2 linked regions of the Macaca fascicularis genome follow. Each later gene encodes a partner of the first gene's protein in a complex. Links are inferred from orthologs where the notes say so. Each region holds a gene or a part of one and is shown on either strand. Other genes may lie near its edges. The genes, in order: JARID2 and AEBP2.

What was found.
Region 2: the proteins of JARID2 (region 1) and AEBP2 are in contact, whole or in part, in a cryo-EM structure (PDB 8VNZ), measured with the Homo sapiens proteins. The link is inferred for Macaca fascicularis from reciprocal best matches to the Homo sapiens genes JARID2 and AEBP2. Residues at the interface, in NP_004964.2 of Homo sapiens: Ser148, Lys151, Pro152, Lys153, Thr154, Glu155, Asp156, Leu158, Thr159; in NP_001107648.1 of Homo sapiens: Arg407, Ala410, Ile411, Asn414, Leu415, Glu420, Ser421.

Annotation. Positions count from the first base shown.
Region 1 is NC_088378.1:157,429,494-157,440,216, forward strand, and holds part of JARID2 (protein Jumonji), read right to left. Parts: coding exon 10,644-10,723; intron 9,835-10,643; coding exon 9,652-9,834; intron 9,128-9,651; coding exon 8,997-9,127; intron 6,578-8,996; coding exon 6,394-6,577; intron 2,771-6,393; coding exon 2,663-2,770; intron 1-2,662.
Region 2 is NC_088385.1:22,278,688-22,289,410, reverse strand, and holds part of AEBP2 (zinc finger protein AEBP2), read right to left. Parts: intron 5,948-10,723; coding exon 5,740-5,947; intron 1,714-5,739; exon of another isoform or gene 1,611-1,713; intron 1-1,610. UniProt on the Homo sapiens protein: Acts as an accessory subunit for the core Polycomb repressive complex 2 (PRC2), which mediates histone H3K27 (H3K27me3) trimethylation on chromatin leading to transcriptional repression of the affected target gene.

The sequences.
Region 1 (10,723 bases):
TGAGTCTCCCTTTCCCAGCTCCTCCTGACGCCACAGAGCAGGCACGGCCCTTTCATCCTCATCAATACCCTGGTCCACCATGGTTTGCCTGCTCATAAGGGCAGGGCTGGCAGGGGGAGCCCAAGCACTGCCTCCACCACGGAGCACGCAGCAGAGAGACCTGGGGGCTTTGTTACGTCCTGGATGGTGACACAAATACCCAAGCTACTTGACTCACTTTAGCTACCAGTCACTGAACCTGGTCATGCAAATAAATGCAAACACTTGTCACCTATAGATATCCTTGTAATTCACCCAAGAGAATCATTTATCTGTCGGCACCAAAACTGCGTGTGTAACTTTCACACAGTACATCCTATAATCATCTCATTTTTAAAAAGAACATGGGGAGGAGTAGCAAACGTGCATCTCACAAGCATCTCTCTGGGCCAGGGGTGGCTGGGAACCACGCTGAGTCCGGCAGGCGAGGAAGCCAGCCATGGAATGAAACATCTGAGGGCCTGATCTCTAGCCCTCTGGAAAGACCCCAAGATAAGGGTAAGGAGTGACAGCTGGCTCCCATCACAAGTTAAAGGCGCCCTTGGAAGGGGGGTGCGCACGGATCTGTAATAACACCATAGTCATGGCGGCCTGAGGCACTGATGATGAACACTGATAAGGAGTAAGTGGCTGAGCTGCCATAACACCCATTTAGGGGACTACAGCTACCTTACCATAAGGACGAGTGAGGAGGAGCCGGCCGCGTGCGGTTACAGGAGGGCACTGTTCCCTCCCCACATGCAGCTCAACAGGCGGACAGCACCTGCCCCAGACCAGTGCCCTCACGCCAGGCTTGGTAGCAGGCAGCCCAGCACCCTGCTCACTGGACCCTGCTCAGCCAGCTTGCAAGGGCCGGAGGCACACATGGCTCCAAACTCCCCAGAGAGCTTCACCATCCATGAGAACCCAAGCCATGAATTCAGGGATTTGCAATCTAGGTGTGTCCCCTACCCCCCAAAAGGTAGGTGTTTAAAGCAGACTGTCCCAGGTCAGCAGGCACAGCCATGGGTGATTTGTGTGCTGGGCACACTGGGAGGTTGAGAACAAGATTTTGCAATGGTCTCTGTTTACAAGCTAGAAATTTCCTATTTAAAAGAATGGGTCAGATGTGGTGGCTCACGCCTGTAATCCCAGCACTTTGGGAGGCCGAAGCGAGCAGATCACCTGAGGTCAGGAGTTTGAGACCAGCCTGACCAACATGGTAAAACCCTGTCTCTACTAAAAAGAAAAATTAGCCGGGTGCATGGTGGCACATGCCTGTAATCCTAGCTGAGGCAGGAGAATCACTTGAACCCAGGAGGCAGAGGTTGCAGTGAGCCGAGATCATGCCACTGCACTCCAGTCTGGGCAACAGAGTGAGACTCCGTCTCTAAAACAAAACACAATGCACAGCTCAACAGGGGACAGAGGCACAGACTTGCTTACTGAACTACATCAGCCGCTGCAGAGTATGCAGTTTCTAAATACCTTTGCTCCTCCTAATTCATCAAAACCAACCATTAGGTCTTAGCCCCTGCATGCCATTCTTTTCCCAGGATCTGGTCACGTCAGACATGCAGCTGCAGAAACAGGCTGCTGGTGAGGGGCGCAACGCACGATCCACAGAGCACTTTCCAGGCAGCCAGAGGAAGCCTTCCTGTGCCAGCACCTGCACTGCACAAGGTGCCAGAGCCACACTCATCTCGGCCGCGAAGGCTTCGTTGTTTGTGACTGTGCCTGGACGTTTGCTGTTGAGGTGGAGGAGGGACAGCAGGTGCTTACTGCCTTCACCCAGCATGCTCTTTGAAACAAAACAGATGCAAAGAGTTCTTCTTCCAGCTCTCCAATCGTTTAGCTCAAGGCTTATTGAGTGAGACCCACCACTTGGCCCCACCGCTTGGGCCCCCAGACGCACCAGGCCCCGCACAGTCAGACCCGCAGCACCCGCCCCACTCAGTGGCCTCAACTGTGCAATGACCACAGTGTGGTGACCGTCCTCGTAACCAGCCTCATCAGAGTCCGTGGGAAGCACACGCAGGGAAGGCGGGCAGAGCAGGGGAAGCACACGTGGGGCAGAGCAGGGGAGAGGCACTGCTGCCAGTTCCGCCACTCAGGGCAGCCCCCAGCTGCACAGGCTGTGCACTGTTACGACCTCTCCCTCCAGAAGAGCTGGCGCCTGCAGGATGGCACTGGGACTTCCCATCCTGCCCCAGTGTCTGCAGACACTTCCAGCTCTCTCAGCCTGGAGGGGCTGGCGTCGAGTGAGTGGAGATTGGCGAGTCCACTGCCAACCGTCCCACTGTGCCTGGGACAGGTCACCACAAAAAAGGGTCTGGCTCTAAACCACAGTGGTGCAGCCCCTGGGAAAGTCAGTGAGGCTGCAAGAAGAGCCTCAGCCCTGGTGAGAGCCCATCTCTGAAATCCAAATGCACGGCACTCCGGGCCCATGCAGGAGCCCTGCTCCCCTCGGGATCCTAATGTGGGGCCTGAGTGGGTTTAGGGCTTAAGAACAGGACACCTCAGGCCTGCAGAGCCCTGGCTGCCCACCAGGCACAGAACTGCCAGGCCGGAGGGCCTACATCCAGCCAGGACCAGGGAAGGCGCCACGCTGCCACCCCACCCTACCCCGCGGGCAGGGACTGACCTCATCGTAGCGGTACATCAACTTCAGCCCTCGGCAGGACTTCTGTTTCTCCACATGGCGCAGAGCACACTCCAGACAGAACACGACGTTTTCGTTCTCTTGTACCACCTGCAAGCAAGAGCAGGACACCCGGAGGTCAGAACACAACTCCACAGCACCCTGGGAGGGTAAAGTGGGCGCATGCCCAGCCAGGCAGCCCTCACACCCACGGCCCCAGCCAGAGCAGCCCTGGCACCCACCACCCGGGCCAAGGGCTTTGAGGCCTGGAAACACTGGAGATGGACTCAAACGAAAACCGACAAACCACCTGAAACATGGTCTTCAACTAGGAAAGTGAGGAGCGGACGACCTCTGAGTGAGACCTGGGGTGGCCCTCATGTCCCCTCCAGATTTCTGCTGGAGTTTCCTGGGAGAGGTTCAGTCACCACCAGGCTGGTAAAGACAGTGAGGGGTACATTTTCTAATCTCTTGAGTTCTGAGGGCTGCTGAGACCCTGGGTTCGAAACCACCCTAGTGCTGGCATAGATGTGGAACATGGAGGACTCCAACTCGGGCAGCCACGCAGGAAACACGCCCTGGACTTTCCAGCAGCAAAACTGGTTCTCATGGTGGTCCACGAGCGGCTCAGTCAACAGAGCAAGGGGCATCCAATGACCCCATGCAAACTCCCCCGACACCCTCAACATCACAGATTCCTGGCCTCTGCAGTGCGGACCAGCTCACCCACCAGCCCCGGCCTCCCTGGGCGGGCTGTCCGCCAGCTGTGGATGCCTTGCTGCCTAAGGCCACAGGAGACTGCTGGGACAGAGACCCTCACTGCGGGCCTGTCCACCTGGCTTCTGTGGGAGGGCTCCCATACTTCACGCTGACTCCAAGTACTATTCTAATTCTGAGTTTGAAAATAAGGAAAAATTCAGTCTCAATACTCAAGAGGCAGAAGGGTCACAGGCCTTTCTCAGAAAGCTTGAGGGGAAGGACTTGTTTTCGTCTGCAGTGTTTCTAAGCGAGAAACAGAGAACATGTTGTAGGAGTGTGGGAATGCCACCTACTGACACAAGACCTTAGAGAGACACTTGGGGCCAAGGACAGGAAGAATAGGAAACACATCTAATTAAAATTTACAAATGTATTAGTAATCCAAGCAATGCAAATTGTCAACACAAGTCAGACCCCAATTTTTGCCCATGGATTTTTATATATATATATATATATATATTTTTTTTTTTTTAAGATGAAGTCTCACACTGTCACCTGGGCTGGAGCGCAATAGCGCGATCTTGGCTCACTGCAACCACTGCCTCCAGAGGAGCTGGGACTACAGGTGCGTGCCATCACACCCGGCTAATTTTTTTGTATTTTTAGTAGAGACGGGGTTTCACCATGTTGGCCAGGCTGTGACTGGCCCGCCTCGGCCTCCCAAAGTGCTGGGATTACAAGTGTAAGCCACTGTGCCTGGCCTTTTTTTTTTTTAAATTAAAGAGACAGGTTGTCACTCTGTCACCCAGCCTGCAAAGGCTCACTGTAGCCTTGAACTTCTGGGCTCAAGTGATACCCCCACCACCACACCCAGTTAATTTTTTGTAGAAATTGAGTCTCACTATGTTACCCAAGCTGGTCTCGCACTCCAGGCCTTGAGTGATCTGCCCATCTTTGCCTCCCAGAGCACTGGGATTAGCCTACCATGGCCGGCCTCACAATATATTCTTTTGAAAATAACTTTCAGGCTGACAGGAAATGCCACGTGACAACTCTGCAGTTTCTGAAGGATGGCTTGAAAATGAAGCCACCTGGTGCCACCTCACATGGACAGACCAGCTTCACCCCCAGGAGTAACCACCATACAGCCCTCACACACATGGACAATGAATAGAGTGTTCCAGCAAGAGGATGGACAGCTGGGCACAGTGACCCATGCCTGTAATCCCAGGGCTCTGGGAGGCTGAAGTAGGCAGCCTATGGGTAACATAGCAGAACCCCACCTCTACCAAAACTAAAAGTTAGCCGGGCGTGGTGGTACACCTGCTATCCCAGCTACTCCGGAGGCTGAGGCTCCAGTGAGACAGGATCACACCACTGCACTCCAGCCTGGGCAACAGAGCGAGACTGTCTCAAAAAAAAAAAAGAAGGAAAAAAGAAAAGAAAGAGCACACCAAGCTATGCAGCTTTTATCAGTGATGTTCATAAGGTACTTTGAAGATCTGAGAAAATGCTTATCATTTTAAGAACAGAATGGCTCTAGGTAATACATTTTGAGAAGTCTGGGGGAAAAACTAGATAGAAGGAAACCTACAGGATGGGAGGCAGGGTGGTCACGGACTGCATTTGTCCCCCATGAAATGCCAGCGTGAACCTCCAGGACCTCAGCTGTGACTGCAGGAGGAGGTGGAGCCTCTAAAGAGGTAAATCGGCTCGAATGAGGCCATGAAGGGGCCTATCGGATACACCGTGAGTTGTGTCCTTAGGTAAGGAGGAGACGAGGACACACAGAGTTTTCAGCTCTTTCAAATGGTACAAAGCCCCGATCTGACTCGTCCGGGAGAGGCCGTGTCCTCCCTCTTCTACAGGGCACGCCAGGACTTGGGGTGAGGCGGCATGACCCAGTCACACTGGGAGGCCGAGGAGAGTCGACCCAGGTCTCAGTCCTGGCCCACCGTGGACAAGCAGAGGGACGCAGAGGCACTGGCCCCTCGGGGAACGTGCAGCTGGAGGGGACACCTGTGGGACACAGGCACCACGGCGTATGGAGCGGGCGCCTCCTAGCTAGGCCTCTGCACTGGAGGAGGGAGGCACTGTGGAAAGGGAAGAGGCCCAGGGAGGCAGGTCAGGCCTGTCGGGCATGCTCTCTGTTCCAGGCTAAGGTGTGTAGTGGCGTGGAGCCATCTGCAGTGCCAGCCAGGCATCCCTGCCCAGAGTGTGTCAGGACAGCTGCCTGCTGAGAGGTCAAGGGAGGACTGGAAGAAGCATGGTGAGGGCCACAGCCGTCCAGTTGCCATGGAAGGGCTTTTCTGAGCCCACCTCTGGTCTAGGACAGGGCAAGCAGGGGAGGAGGCAGTGTTTGTTATTAAGCCCAAAGCTGGGGAAGGCAGGTGGTCACAAGGAGGCCGGCAGGGTACAGTCGAGAAGGCGAGAGGAATGCAGTCTGCTGTAGCCTGGAGTGGCTGTGCCAGAAAAGCAGCTCTGATCCCAGATGGGACAGGGGGAGCATCAGCTTTCAACAAGGACAGATTCCCAAGTCCTTGGGGGCTGAGGCAGATCATGTACCTGAGCAGAACCAGGAAGCCAAGAACAGAGCCAAAGGGCACAGGCCATGGGCCCAAGTCTACCAAGCACAGGTCACTGGGCGGGGGGTGGCAGACGCTGCCCAGCACTGTGGGAAACCCGCCCCGACCGTCTCAAAAAGTATGAAGAGCAGAGTGCGTGGGGGCTGGGGTGACAAAGTAGGGGGGGGAGGGAGGCCACCTGCTCCGCAAGGAGGAAGGAGGCACCGCGGGACCGAGAGAGGGCCACGTGTGGGCAGAGTAGAGGGACAGCCTCTGTGTGGCCTGGTCACTGCGGGTGAGGCAGCCGCCTCCAGAGGTCAGAAGCTCTGCTGAGGTCCCACAGCCAGCTCCAGAGATGGGAGCACAGCAGGTCTCCTGTGCAGAGAGCACCCTCCCTCTTCTGGGGGCAACCCTGGAGCTCTCAGGGGAAGCACTGCACACAAGGGCGCCGGCCGTGCCAGGTGGGCTCACCATAGACAGATAGCACAGGTGCTGGCAGATCTGACACCTCCTCTCCGACGTCTCCAACTGCAGCCACTTTCGAGGCTTTTTCTTCCCGTCCGCCACCGTGCTGCTGCCATCATGGCTGCCGTAGCGCGCGGAGGAGTGGAGGCCAGCCTCGAACAGCTGCCTGCGCTGCCGCAGCTCTGTATCCCTGCCAGACACGGGGGACGGCCCACGCCTTTAGTGACAGCCAGCCATGCTCACCAGCAGCAGGACATGCACTTCCCACACCGGCCTCCCTCCAGACACACCCTCCTGTCAGAAGTGAGGCCTGCTCAGGGTTCAGAGCCCAGCTCACCTCCCCGGGTGCCTTAGTCCACAGATCAGTAGCAGCCCTGGCTGATGAGGCTACTCTGTGGCCAGACTTAGTAATGCAGGCGTCACAACGCCTGCAAAACCACGGCCACCTAGTAAGGGCTTCTCCCTGTGTCCCAAGCCCAGGAGAGAGTCAAGATACTATCACCAAAAGTTCAAAATTCATGTGCTCACAACACAACCCAGAGCCTTGCTCCAGGATGGGAGAGGCACCGAGAACTACACGGTAGGGAAGAGAGAAGAGGGTTACACGGGCGCCACTCTGCTCAGCGTCCGCCCTGACCTGCTCCACACACATACACACCCACACCCCCCCCCACACACACCCCCCACACACACACCCCCACACACCCCACACCCCACACACACACACCCCACACACACCCCACACACACCCCACACACACACGCACCCCCTACACACACACCACACATATGGACACCACACACACACCCCACACACCCACACCCCCCACCCCACACACACACCCCCCACCCCACACACACACCCCACACACCCACACCCCCCACCCCACACACACACCACACACCCCCCACACCCCCCACACACACCCCACACACACACCCCTCCCCACACACACCCCACACACACACCCCACACACACACGCACCCCCTACACACACACCACACATACGGACACCACACACACACCCCACACACCCACACCCCCCACCCCACACACACACCACACACACCCCACACCCCCCACACACACACCCCTCCCCACACACACCCCACACACACACCCCTCCCCACACACACCCCTCCCCACACACACCCCACACACACACCCCCCACCCCACACACACACCACACACACCCCACACCCCCACACCCCCCACACACACCCCACCACACACACCCCACACACACACCCCACACACCCCCCCCACACACACGCACCTACACACACACCACACACACCACACATACGGACACCACACACACACCACACACACCCACACCCCCCCACACACACACCACACCCCACACACACACCACACACACCCCCCCACACACACACCCCACACACACACGCACCCCCTACACACACACCACACACACCACACATACGCACACCATACGCACACCACACACACACGCACCCCCTACACACACACCACACACACCCCACACACCACACATAACGCACACCCCACACACACACACCCCACACACCCCACACACCACACATAACGCACACCCCCCACACACACACCCCACACACCCCCCCACACACACCACCTACACACACCCCACACACCCACCACACATACGCACACCCCACACACCCCCCCACACCCCACACACACACACCACACATACGCACACCACACACCACACATACGCACACCACACACCACACATACGCACACCACACACACCCCACACACGCACACACCACACCCCACACACATACGCACACCACACACACCCCCCCCACACACACACCACATACGCACCCCACACACCCCCCACACCACACACACACCACACACACACCACACACACACCCCCCACACACACACCCCACACACACACACCACACAGACGCACACCACACACCCCCCACAAACCACACACACACCACACACACACACCCCCCACACATACGCACACCACACACACCCCCCACACCACACATACGCACACCACACACACCCCACACACACACACCACACACGCACACCACACATCCCACACATCCCACACACCCCCCACACCACACACAGACACACAGCACACACACACACACACCACACACACACCACACACGCACACCACAGACACACGGCACACACACACAAAGGGGTTGGCAAGAAAATGGAGGGTGGAGGACCGGGGGCAGCTATCCACGCCTTCCCCTAACTGGTGCAGAGCCAGGCTCTGACGCAGTGGGTCAGCAAGTACGTGTCAGGGGTCGGGCGCCCCCCTTGCAGTCAATCCCACAAAGAGGAGGAACCTCTTGGTGCTGGAGGTTCGGAGTCCGAACATCAAGGGGAAATTATTTTCTTAAAAAAAAAAATGTTAAAATAAAAACCAGCACACCCTGAGCCTCTGCCCATCTGGAAAAGCATCACATGGGCCGTGCAGTGCCAAGGGGCTCTGCGGCTGCAGGCAGGCAGCGCTGTCTGCTCACCCCGGGCGTCTACCCGGCTAAGCCCCCGAAGGGCAGCCAGGTCAAGCTCTCTGACGTGGGCCCTGGGGGTCTCCCAGAACCCCGAGTCTGTTACCTGAGCTCGTCCAGAAGGGCTGAGATGGTACTGAGAGTGGGCCCGTTTTCTTTCTTTGCTTCTGCTTGTGCAATCTGGTAGAGTAACTTCTCCATGGAGAATGGCTTAGCTATATGGCGACGCTTCATTTCCTGAAAGAGGAGTCACATCCCTTTAGCGTGGATTTTCATGACTAGGCAGCTGTCAAGGTTCTTCTTGGTGGAGGGGCAGGCCGGCTGTCCGAATTTCTAAATCTTGAATTGCATTTGGATTAAAAACTCTTCAAAACTTTGCCTCCCTGTGAGAAAGGCACCACATACCAGGAGAAGTCACAGCACTTCGCCACTACCCAGAGGCAGCTGCCACCACCTCACGATGGGTGGAGGTTCTCTGTCCATTCATTCTAAGCAATTACCTTAAGTATCTTCAGTAGTTTTCCAATACTGGAGGGATCTGTCAGTAACGGTATGATCAAAACTCTTTGTGATACAAACAAATCCCTAACTTTTCACTCCTAGAAGACCTTTCAACCACCTCCTAAGAATTTCAAAGACATATTCCAAAAGGAACTATCTACAGATAGACACGCACACGCAGGGCTGCTTCTGTGTGCAATCACGCACGGCGCTCACACGGATGCGGGGGCAGCCAGCGGGAGGAGGCTGGCTCTGCTTACCTTGGCGGTCTCAAAGCCCATACTTGTCCACTGGGTGGTAGCAAAGTGCACGGTTTCAGACACGCTGTACCCACAGCACACTTTGGACACAAAGGATCCCGGGAAGCAGACGACAAACTGGCCACTCTGCTGCACGGTCCTGTGCACCTTGATCCCCTCTTTGCACAGCACCTCCGGGGAGATCTGGGGAGACAGGGCCAGGCTGAGGCACACCCCCTCCCTGTGCGCCGGGACACCTGCAGCCTTCAGGTGAGGCATGAGCACCCTAAGAGGCCTGCTCTCAAGGAGACAAGATTGCTTTATGTGGAAAATAAAAAGATGTCATTCATAACACAAGAAGAAGTTCTAAATTGCACTGGCCCCAGAGTGATGACAGGTTCATGCACAGCTGAGGACATGATGACCACACAGGCCCCTCTGTCCCCACCTGGCAATGCCATGGGGTGGAAACGGGACAAGGTTACACAACCAGGAGGCTGCCGGGCTCATCTCCAGAGCCAAGTAGGCCACAGGCCCACAGGCTGCGCTTACAAAGGAGTCCCCCGTCCATCTCTTCTCTAAGATGGACAGGCTGGACCAGCAGGGTCAGCAGAGGCCAGAGAAGCTGGTCAGAACACAGCCCAAAGCAGCACCTCCCAGGAGCTCACCAGCCCCATGACTTCCTGAAAACAAGTGAAGAAGCCTTTGTGCTCATTCCTCTCATGTGCCCAGAAGGTAGGAGCAGCGGGCACAAGAAAACCCAGAGTCCACAGCAGCCCTCAACATGAACAAGCCCCAAAACAGATGCAAAGGCCGTGCAAAACCCCAGCACCCTGTGCAATCTGATGGATGGTCAGTTTGGCTTTTGTGTCTGAGGACCTTTCCCTTTGCACCCTGGGGATTTGTTTTGCTGTGTTCTCATTGCCTTTGAAAAGCAGGTTCATGGGAAACCATGTTCAAGTGCCTAGGAGGTCCTACAGTTCCTGCTGGAGGCGGCGGCTGAGTGGACGCACCATGACGTTGCTTTCCAGCATCTGCAGCCCTGGGGTGCCATTGGCTTGCAGCAGGGTGTGGACCACGTCTTCCAGCTTGT
Region 2 (10,723 bases), on another chromosome or scaffold:
CTCAGCCGGGCGCGGTGGCTCATGCCTGTAATCCCGGCACTTTGGGAGGCCGAGGCGGGCGGATCACAAGGTCAGGAGATCGAGACCACGGTGAAACCCCATCTCTACTAAAAATACAAAAAATTAGCCGGGCGCGGTTGTGGGCGCCTGTAGTCCCAGCTACTCGGGAGGCTGAGGCAGGAGAATGGCGTGAACCCGGGAGGCGGAGCTTGCAGTGAGCCGAGATCGCGCCACTGCACTCCAGCCTGGGCGACAGAGCGAGACTCCGTCTCAAAAACAAAAACAAAAACAAAAAAAAAAGACTCTGTCTCATTAACAAAAAAAAACACAAAAGTCAGACAGAGGGGGTGGACGGATGATTCCATGATACCATCAAGCCTTATTTTTCTTTTCTTTTTTTTTTTTTTAAATGAGACAGAATCTTGCTCTATCATCCAGGCTGTAAGGCAGAGGCACAATCATAGCTCACTGCAACCTTGACCTCCTGAGCGCTATAGTTAACTGTACTCATTCAAGTCTTCCAATAACATCGTATCATATTCCTCCCTTGCCCAAAATCGCCTCGCTTTGCCTCTCAGCAAAAAAACACACCAAAGAATATATGCAAAAGTAAACCTGAAATGACACAGAAAATAAATCCTGTATCAAGAAATCTAAACAGCTTTCCAGAAATTGTTTTTATGTGAGAAATAGCTGAGAAAGAAAGAGCAGTAATATATTTTACACTGAGCCTCTAAAGTCCTATAAGTTCCCCACTTTCCAAGACTTAGGTGTATATTAAGAGGACACTGGGATTTGAAATTTGATTAGTAAGATAACTCAGAGCCTAATCTTCAGAAATCAGTCACACACAGAAGAACGGACCTAGGCCAGGCACGGTGGCTCAGGCCTGTAATCCCAGCACTTTGGGAGCCAGAGGCAGGTGGATCACCTGAGGTCAGGAGTTCGAGACTAGGCTGGCCAACATGGTGAAACCCCATCTCTACTAAAAATACAAAAGTCAGTCAGGTGTGGTGGAGCATACCTGTAGTCCCTGCAACTTAGGAGGCTGACATAGGAGAATCACTCAAACCTGGGAGGTGGAGGTTGCAGTGAGCGGAGATTGCACCACTGCACTCCAGCCTGGGCAACAGTAACAAAATTCTATCATATTTAACACTAAAGATAAGTTTGATTCTCTTTTTGCCTGTTTTGTTTTTATTTTTGAAATTGTAGAAAGCACTCTAATGATTTTTTTTTTTAAAAAGGTGTATTGGTCGGGGCATGGTGGCTCACGCCTGTAATCCTAGCACTTTGGGAAGCCAAGGCAAGACCAGCATGGGCAACACAGTGAGACCTCATATCTAAGAAAAAAAAAGTGTATTCATAATTTGGTGTTTAAATGATTAGTTTGATTTTAATGTAGAAATCAGGCCAGGAAAATCTAAACTCCACTTGACTTCAGCCTCCAAAGAAGTCCACATGAACATAGCAACATAAACAGCTTAAAAGGGGGAAAAAAACAATGCTAAGTGGTTATATAATGGTTTTGCTTTTCTCCCCAGGGCAAAGATTATAGTGGAATGAGAAAAAGAACATAAATTAATATAGTTTAGATCTTGCTAACTTACTGCTCCAGTAAAATTGTCATCTTTCAATAATCAGAAGCATAAAATCTTCTAGGGTTACCAATTTTTTCCTCATCTGTTTCTGTTCCATGATGACACTTTAACACTTAAGAGAGAAAGAAGAAATAAGAAAACTAAAAAAATAATTAGGCCAACAAAATCAGGTGTTTTCTACTTATATTAGATACCTACAACAGTCAAACACACAGAGATAGAAAGTAGAACTGTGGTTACCAGGAGCTAGTGGGAGCAGACAGTAAGTTTGTTTAATGGATATACATCTCAATTTGGGATGATAATTTACAAGTTCTGGAGACAGTGGGTGACGATTACACAATAAGGTGAACGTACTTAAAGCCCCTGAACTGTACATTAAAATTGTTTTTTGTTCTTTTTTTTGAGACAGGATCTCACTCTGTCATCCAGGCTGGAGTGCAGTGGCGTGATCTCACAGCACCTCAACCTCCTAGGCTCAAGCAATTCTCCCACCTCATCCCCCTGAGTGGCTAAGACCACAGGTGTGTGCCACCACACCCAGCTAATTTTTGTAGAGACAGGATTTTGTCATGTTGCCCAGGCTGGCCTGAAAACTCCTGAGCTCAAGCGATCTACCTGCCTCAGCTTTCCAAAGTGCTGGGATTACTGTGCCCAGCCGAAAATGTTTTTGTTTTCTTAAAGTTCATTTCAAAGAAAAAAAATCTGATGTTCCAACCAACAATTACTCTTCAAAACACAAAACCTGCTAGGCATGGTGGCTCACGCCTGTAATTCCAGCACCTTGGGAGGCTGAGGAGGATGATCAGGTCCTCCTCAGGAACTCCTTAGGTCAGGAGTTCAAGACCAGCCTGGCCAACATGGTGAAACCCCATCCATACTAAAAATACAAAAATTAGCTGGGCGTGGTGGTGCACACTTGTAATCCCAGCTACTTGAGATGCTGAGGCAGGAGAACTGCTTGAACCCGAGAGGCAGAGGTTGTAGTGAGCTGAGGTCGTGCCACTGCACTCCAGCCGGGGCAACAGAGATTCCATCTCAAAAAAAGAAAATAAAAGAAAAAACAAACACAAAAGTCAATCTCAAAGCACAAAATCGGATTGAGTTTTCTTGTCTTTTATAATAGTACCCTCAATTTCTCATTCATATTTTATCATTCAAAACACATAGTCTATTGTAATCTCAGCACTTTCAGAGACCAAGACGGGCAGATCACTGGAGTCCAGGAGTTGGAGACCAGCCTGGGCAACATGGTGAAACCTCATCTCTACAAACAAACAAACAAACAAACCATAGTCTATATCCTAATGACTGGTGTGTAGGAAAAAACTGGGATGCATTTTCTACATTATTTGATCCTTCACATTTATAGTTTAGCAAATAATGTCCTTCAAAGATCAGGACTCCTATCTTTGGTCAAAATAGCATTACTCTTTTTATTTTATTTTATTTTTTGAGACAGAGTCTCATTCTGTCACCCAGGCTGGAGTGAAGTGGTGCGATCTCAGCTCACTGCAACCTCCGCCTCCCGGGTTCAAGTGGTTCTTCTGCCTCAGCCTCCCCAGTAGCTGGGACTATAGGGGCGCACAAACATACCCAGCTAATTTCTGTATTTTTAGTAGAGATGGGGTTTCACCATATTGGCCAGGCTGGTCTCAAACTCCTGACCTCGTGATCCGCCTGCCTCAGCCTCCCAAAGAGCTGAGATTACAGGCATGAGCCACCGCGCCTGGCCAAACAGCATTACTCTTAAAATCAGCTACAGAATCTTATTATTGGTAATCAAGTGATATTTTGAATAAGGGTTCAAGAAATGACATGGGAGATTTTTCATTTCAATATTACACTTACGGGACAAATGCCAACATTTCATGTCTAATTCTATAATATCAGCAATGTACATGTATATAGTTACTGTGATTACATGATATATTTATTTTAAAAATCAGTCTTGGCCAGATGCGGTGGCTCACACTTGTAATCCCAGCATTTTAGGAGGCCAAGGCGGGTGGACCACCTGCGGTCAGGAGTTCGAGACCAGCCTGGCTAACATGGTGAAATCCCGTCTCTACCAAAAATACAAAAAAAATTAGCCAGGCATGGTGGCTCACGCCTGTAATCCCAGATACTCGGAGGCTGAGGCAGGAGAATCACCTGAACCCAGGAGGCAGAGATGGCAGTGAGCTGAGACCACACCATTGCACTGCAGACTGGGCAACGAGAACCAAACTCTGTCTCAAAAAAAAAAAAAAAATTAATTACTTTAAAAAAAAATTAAAATCAGACTGTAATTGCATTTTTTCTAAAAATCTGGAAAGGGGTGAAATTCTCATCAGGTTGTATGCCAACTCGACTTGCGGGATTCCAAGACTCAGAAATGTGAAATTCTCCCGCTCCCACATCTACCGCTCCCACATCTTCCACATCAAGAGAAGCCCAGTGATCTTCCAAATAGCTCATGATTCTATATACAGTTGCTAAGTCAAGTGACAAAAAAGCATCATGCCATGATGCTCAAAAATGGTATATACCAAGTGACATCAAGCACTGGCTTACAAAAAGCAGATCTACAAAAGCCAGAAAACCAACTTGCTAAGATATTTCACTCTAAGTATCTGACATACGGCTTGGGGGAGAAGACTGGGTTACCAAAGTAGCCTAACCACTGAGCTGGGTTTTACACTGAAAATACCGTATGATGGACACAGTTAATTAACAAATCATAGGTAAGTATAACATTTTACTGGTTACTCAGACATCATACCTATTAACTCTAACAAGAAGACAAATGTACAAGTGTTTACTTATCAAGTTTGAGTAATCAAAAGACTGCTGACACATTATAATATATTGTGACAGGGAAGAATATGTCTTAAAAGAAATTTCGGCCACATACGGTGACTCATGCCTATAATCCCAGCACTCTGGGAGGCCAAGGCGGGCGGATCACTTGAGTTCACGAGTTCGAGACCAGCCTAGCCAACATGGCAAAACCCCATCTCTACTAAAAATACAAACAAAAATTAGCCAGGCATGGTGGCAAGCACTGGTAATCCCAGCTACTCAGGAGGTTGAGGCAGGAGAATCACTTGAACCCAGGAGGCAGAGGCTGTGGTGAGCCAAGATCACGCCACTGCACTCCAGCCTGGGCAACAGAGCAAGACTCCATCTCAAAAAAAAAAAAAAAAAAAAAAAATTCAAGTATGACATCACTGCTTAAAATGTTAGAAATGTTGACTTGGCTGGATGTTTAAAAAAAAAAAGATCAATATTATACTCTAAGTATCAACAGAACCTTGGAAACAGTTATCCACTAACTTAAACCATGATGGTTTTTACTATGTTAGTTATCTGTTCTTCAATAGTGATGGAAGGCTGATAAGAAATGTGTGGCCTAATACTAATAAATTACCTGCCCTTACACTGTGACAGTAATTTCTGAAAAATGCACTAAGTGTGATAACTATTCAACAAAAATCTAGGTAAAGCTGAAACAATGTATAAATTAATATTCTGGCACATTACTTTTGGCTTACCCATTTGCTTAGCTCTTTATTCAGTACCTAATAGAAGTTACATGAACTGACACAATTAAATGTATTCCTGAAAGGATATAGGTCAATACTGACGAATCAGAACTTTCCATCTAAATAGTTTTGTCAAGACCTGGGAAAGATTATCAACTCTCACTCACAAATAATGAGTTCAGGTTGTCATTTAATAGAATTGCATATACTAATCCTGGTACCAATAGTCTCCCCAGTTAATTTAAGCATCAGGAATAATTTAGGATCCTCTAACAAAGGAAAACCAAGACAGTGCTAATTCTAAATGTTCTCAACTCAAAACATCAGAACCCTGGAATACACTGTATTCATTTATAATACTGTCACCTACTATATTTTTAAAAGTCTAATTTCTTCAAAATAACGTATCTAAAAGCAAACTAAAATCCAACACATATCCTATTTTTATTTGATTCTATCAAATAATTGGGAAATAATTATTAAAAATTCACTTGAAAAAATTAAGCCTGTGTAAAAATAATCCCAAATTACTTTCAGCAAAAAAGCCTAACTAGCAATTATAATAAAACTAACGAAAACAGGGAGTGAAAAAAAGAAATGACAAAACCAACCCCTCCTCGCTGACCATCTACATGTATGGAACGGATGTGATCTGCCAGATCTGGGCTAGAGTTGAAGCAAGCCTGGCACTGGTCCCAACAACAATTATAGGCAATATTTTTGCTTGAAGAAGTAGTGCTTCCTTGTCCATTCATCATTGCTGGAGTTGAACGCCCACTGGAAATTGTGCTGTCTACATCCATTATAGTACTGCTTATGCTACAAAAGAAGAAAAAAGGCTGTGTTATTCCTAGAAATATACTAACATGAATATGATCTTATAAATACTTAATTAAGATTACCACTTGACATTCTGCTCCATGTGAGCAAAGCATAGTAACCATATTCTCCATTAGAAAACAACAATGCTTTGATATTAATTAGTTGGCAATGAAGTACAAATCAAGACAGAAACATGACAGTACCTCAAAATCAGATATGGAATAATTTAAGCAACTTTTGGCAGGCATGAACTCAATACTATATCTTACAGAAAACAAACCACACCCACACCCACACACAGCTTATCACATCTCATCCCTTCCACAGTTCAAAGCAGCAAGAGAAAGTAAGAGTTTCCAGCTGTAAATAATACATAATCAAAGCATTATCTTTATGGCTCTGCAAATCACTTGTTGACCTGAAATCTCTTCTAATCATTAATCTGAAAATATAACTGCTACCACTCCTACTCCCTTTTCATATCAAAGAATTGGGGAGATTTTGCAGTATTTTCCCTGATAAATAAAAAAGCAGAAGAGAGAAAACTGGTCTCTGATTTTTCTAAAGTCCAAATAAAAAATCTTTTCCTGACCCTAAAATTTTATTTTTTTAACTCATCTCTAGCCATAAAAACAAGACTGAAAACGTCAACCAATTCCTTTTAATTTTTATTTACTAAAGTATTACATATGGCTGGACGTGGTGGATCACTCCTGCAAACCCAGCACTTTGGGAGGCCGAGGCGGGTAGATTACCTGAGGCCAGGAGTTCGAGACCAGCCTGCTCAACATGGTGAAAACCTATTGCTACTAAAAATACAAAAAATTAGCTGGGTGTGGTGGCAGGTGCCTGTAATCCCAGCTACTCGGGAGGCTGAGGCAGGAGAATCTCTTGAACCTAGGAGGTAGAGGTTGGAGTGAGTGGAGATCGCACCACTGTACTCCAGCCTGGTCAACAAGAGCAAAACTCTGTCTCAAAAAATAAAATAAAATAAAATTAAATTAAATTAAAGATCACGCCATTGCACTCCAGCCTGGTCAACAAGAGCAAAACTCTGTCTCAAAAAATAAAATAAAGTATTACATAGTAGTAACTCTTTTATTTAAAAAAATTATATTATTAGTGGTCAAAATGCTCAAAAATTCACAGCTTAATAAAATGTACCACACTTTTTCCTTAATTTTAAAAGCAATTCACTTATTTTCTTTTTTCAAAATCTTCTCAATAAATAAATTACATGAAAGTCACTTCAATCATAAGGGTCAAGAGGAAGAATGTTTTCAGACTAAATCTGTGAAAGGGTGTATATCTGCTTGCAATTTAAGAAATAACACAAGTCAAGTTGTGAAAATTGTATTAACTTTAAAGAGGTATGCTTCCCTCCTGCCAAGTTTTTATCATGGAAAATTTCAAAGACACAAAATATAGCTAAATCTGAATTCAATTAACATTTTTACCGTATTTGCTATCTGTAATCTGTTTCTCTGAATCATTTCAAAGTTGCAGGCATCATGACAGTCAACCACAGCACATACCTTCTTAAAAAAAAGAACATTCAGGCAGGTCACAGTGGCTCATGCCTATAATCCCAGCACTTTGGGAGACTGCAACGGACAGATCACAAGATCAGGAGATTGAGATCATCCTAGCTAACATGGTGAAACCCCGTCTCTACTAAAAATACAAAAAATTAGCCAGGCATGGTGGTATGTGCCTGCAGTCCCAGCTACTCCAGAGGCTGAGGCAGGAGAATGGTGTGAACCCAGGAGGCGGAGATTGTAGTGAGCAGAGATCATGCCACTGCACTCCAGCCTGGGCGACACAGCTAGACTCCATCTCAAAAAAACAAAAAAAAAAAAACATTCAGGCCAGGTGCGGGGGCTCACGCCTATAATCCCAGCACTCTGGGAGGCTGAGGTGGGTGAATCACAAGGTCAGGAGTTCAAGACCAGCCTGGTCAAGATGGTGAAATCACATCTCTACTAAAAATACAAAAATTAGCAGGGCGTGGTGGCGCATGCCTGTAATCCCAGCTACTCAGGAGGCTGAGGCAGAGAATTGCTTGAACCTGGGAGGAGGAGGTTGCAGTGAGCCAAGATAATACCACTGCACTCCAGCCTGGGTGACAGAGCGAGACTCTGTCTCAAAAACTAAAAAGAACATTCATCTATATACCAATACAACCTATTCACTCACACCGGAGAAAATTTACATGAATTTTGTTAGCTTAAGTAAGCTTTATAATGATCTGTGTCTAACATCAAACATACCCACTGTGGGGGGTTAGGGGGATGTTAAGGCAGGATCCTCACCCCGTTGCCACGCCTATAGTGCAGTGGTGCTAACACGGCTCATTGCAGCCTTGACCTACCAGGCTCAAGTGATCCTCCTACCTCAGCCTCCTGAGTAGCCGGGCCTACAGGTGTGCACCACTATGGTCGACTAAATTTTTTAAATTTCTGTAAACACGACGTCTCTTTATGTTGCCCAGGCTGGGCTCAAGCAATCCTCCTGCCTTGGCCTCCCAAAGTACTAGGACTACAGGCATAACCCACTGCACCCAGCTAAATTTTTTTTTTTTTTTGTAGAGGCGGAGTCTTGTATTGTAGCCCACGCTAGAAACATATCCATTTTTAAAAGCAGATATTTTTGTAGGATGCTTCAGATATGAAAAATGTCTTGGCTGCCGGGCGCGGTGGCTCAAGCCTGTAATCCCAGCACTTTGGGAGGCCGAGGCGGGCGGATCACAAGGTCAGGAGATCGAGACCACGGTGAAACCCCGTCTCTACTAAAAATACAAAAAATTAGCCGGGCGCGGTGGCGGGCGCCTGTAGTCCCAGCTACTCAGGAGGCTGAGGCAGGAGAATGGCGTGAACCCGGGAGGCGGAGCTTGCAGTGAGCCGAGATCGCGCCACTGCACTCCAGCCTGGGCAACAGCGTGAGACTCCGTCTCAAAAAAAAAAAAAAAAAAAAAAAAAAAAAAAGAAAAATGTCTTGGGTTTTCCTTTAAAGGATATTCTAGTATCTAAGCTCATCTAACTATCTACCTAGTTAGTTAAATGCAATAAATATATATTTACCTGCCTAGTCAGCATAAGATTCTAAATTGCATCTCTAAGGCTTCATTCTAAAACTCTGTAATCTCAAATGTGAATCAGTTCTTGAATATCTGAATATGCATATATTGTTTGTTGTTGCAGGAGTAACCTTGGGTATGGTGGTTTTCTACACCGAAATACAAATTTTATTTAAACCCTAGAAATTTCAAGTTTCCCCTGGCCAGGCGGTGGCTCACACCTGTAATCTCAGCACTTTGGGAGGCCAAGGAGGGCGGATCACGAGGTCAGGAGATCAAGACGATCCTGACTGACACAGTAAAACCCCATCTCTACTAAAAATACAAAAACTTAGCCGGGCGTGGTGGCGGGCACCTGTACTCCCAGCTACTCCGGAGGCTGAGGCAGGAGAATGGTGTGAACCCAGAAGGCGGAGCTTGCAGTGAGCCAAGAAAGCACCACTGCACTCCAGCCTGGGCGACAGAGCAAGAAAATTTCAAGTTTCATGAGGCCCTTAATCCTGAAATGGTTACCTATTTTCCCTACCGCTTGCTTTATATATTTTAAAACATTCAACTATAAAGCACATACTTACATAAACCATACTAATTTAACTCTAAGGCAAAAACTAATAATTCTAAGTGAACAACCAATCATAACCAATTTATAAACAATCTCAGGAAGAGTAATAAAAACTCAATGAACTACCATGGAACAATCTGCAAGGTATAGTTAAGTAAAACAAACACAAGTGAAGGGTAGTAATGTTCCAATTTGCATACCTAAGTGGGGGAGGGAGACAGAGATATAGCTAGTCTCCAAGGGCACAGAAAGATAAATGAAACCTAGTGAATATATGGGAGAAGGGATGAGTGGGAGAGAAACTTATCTTTCACTGTATACACCCTTTTTATACCATTTTAACCATGTTGTACCTATACTGCTTTTATTAAAAAGTCCAAAATTAGTTGAAAACCAAATCAATTTTTTTAACTGGACAAAGTAAGGTTAAGAGAGATGTATATACCTGTGAAACATCATTATGGAATCTATCTACATAGTACTTCATGTACTTTTGTTCATTACCTTTACCAAAGAAAAGGAACCGGGCCGGGCACGGTGGCTCAAGCCTGTAATCCCAGCACTTTGGGAGGCCGAGGCGGGCGGATCACAAGGTCAGGAGATCAAGACCACAGTGAAACCCCGTCTCTACTAAAAATACAAAAAATTGGCCGGGCGCAGTGGCGGGCGCCTGTAGTCCCAGCTACTCAGGAGGCTGAGGCAGGAGAATGGCGGGAACCCGGGAGGCGGAGCTTGCAGTGAGCCGAGATCGCGCCACTGCACTCCAGCCTGGGCAACAGCGTGAGACTCCGTCTCAAAAAAAAAAAAAAAAAAAAAAAGAAAAGGAACCGTAAAAAAAAGTCCAAAATCTGGGAAGAGTAAGCATTGTTGAGTCTATGCGTGATATCACATACTTGAAACAATACTTCATGTGCATGTAGCTGCTGATAAAGACAGCATAATACAAATGTTAAGAACATGAGCTTTGCCTACCACTGGGGACTAAGCTGTGAATACAATGGTAGACAAGGTGAGAGGCAGATCCTGGGACACTCAAGACATCCCACACACAGAGTCTCCCTCAAGCTGATAAGGGCCAACAGAAGTTCTGCTTCACAACCCCTCTTAGGCTCCTCCCACTTCTACAAAATATCCA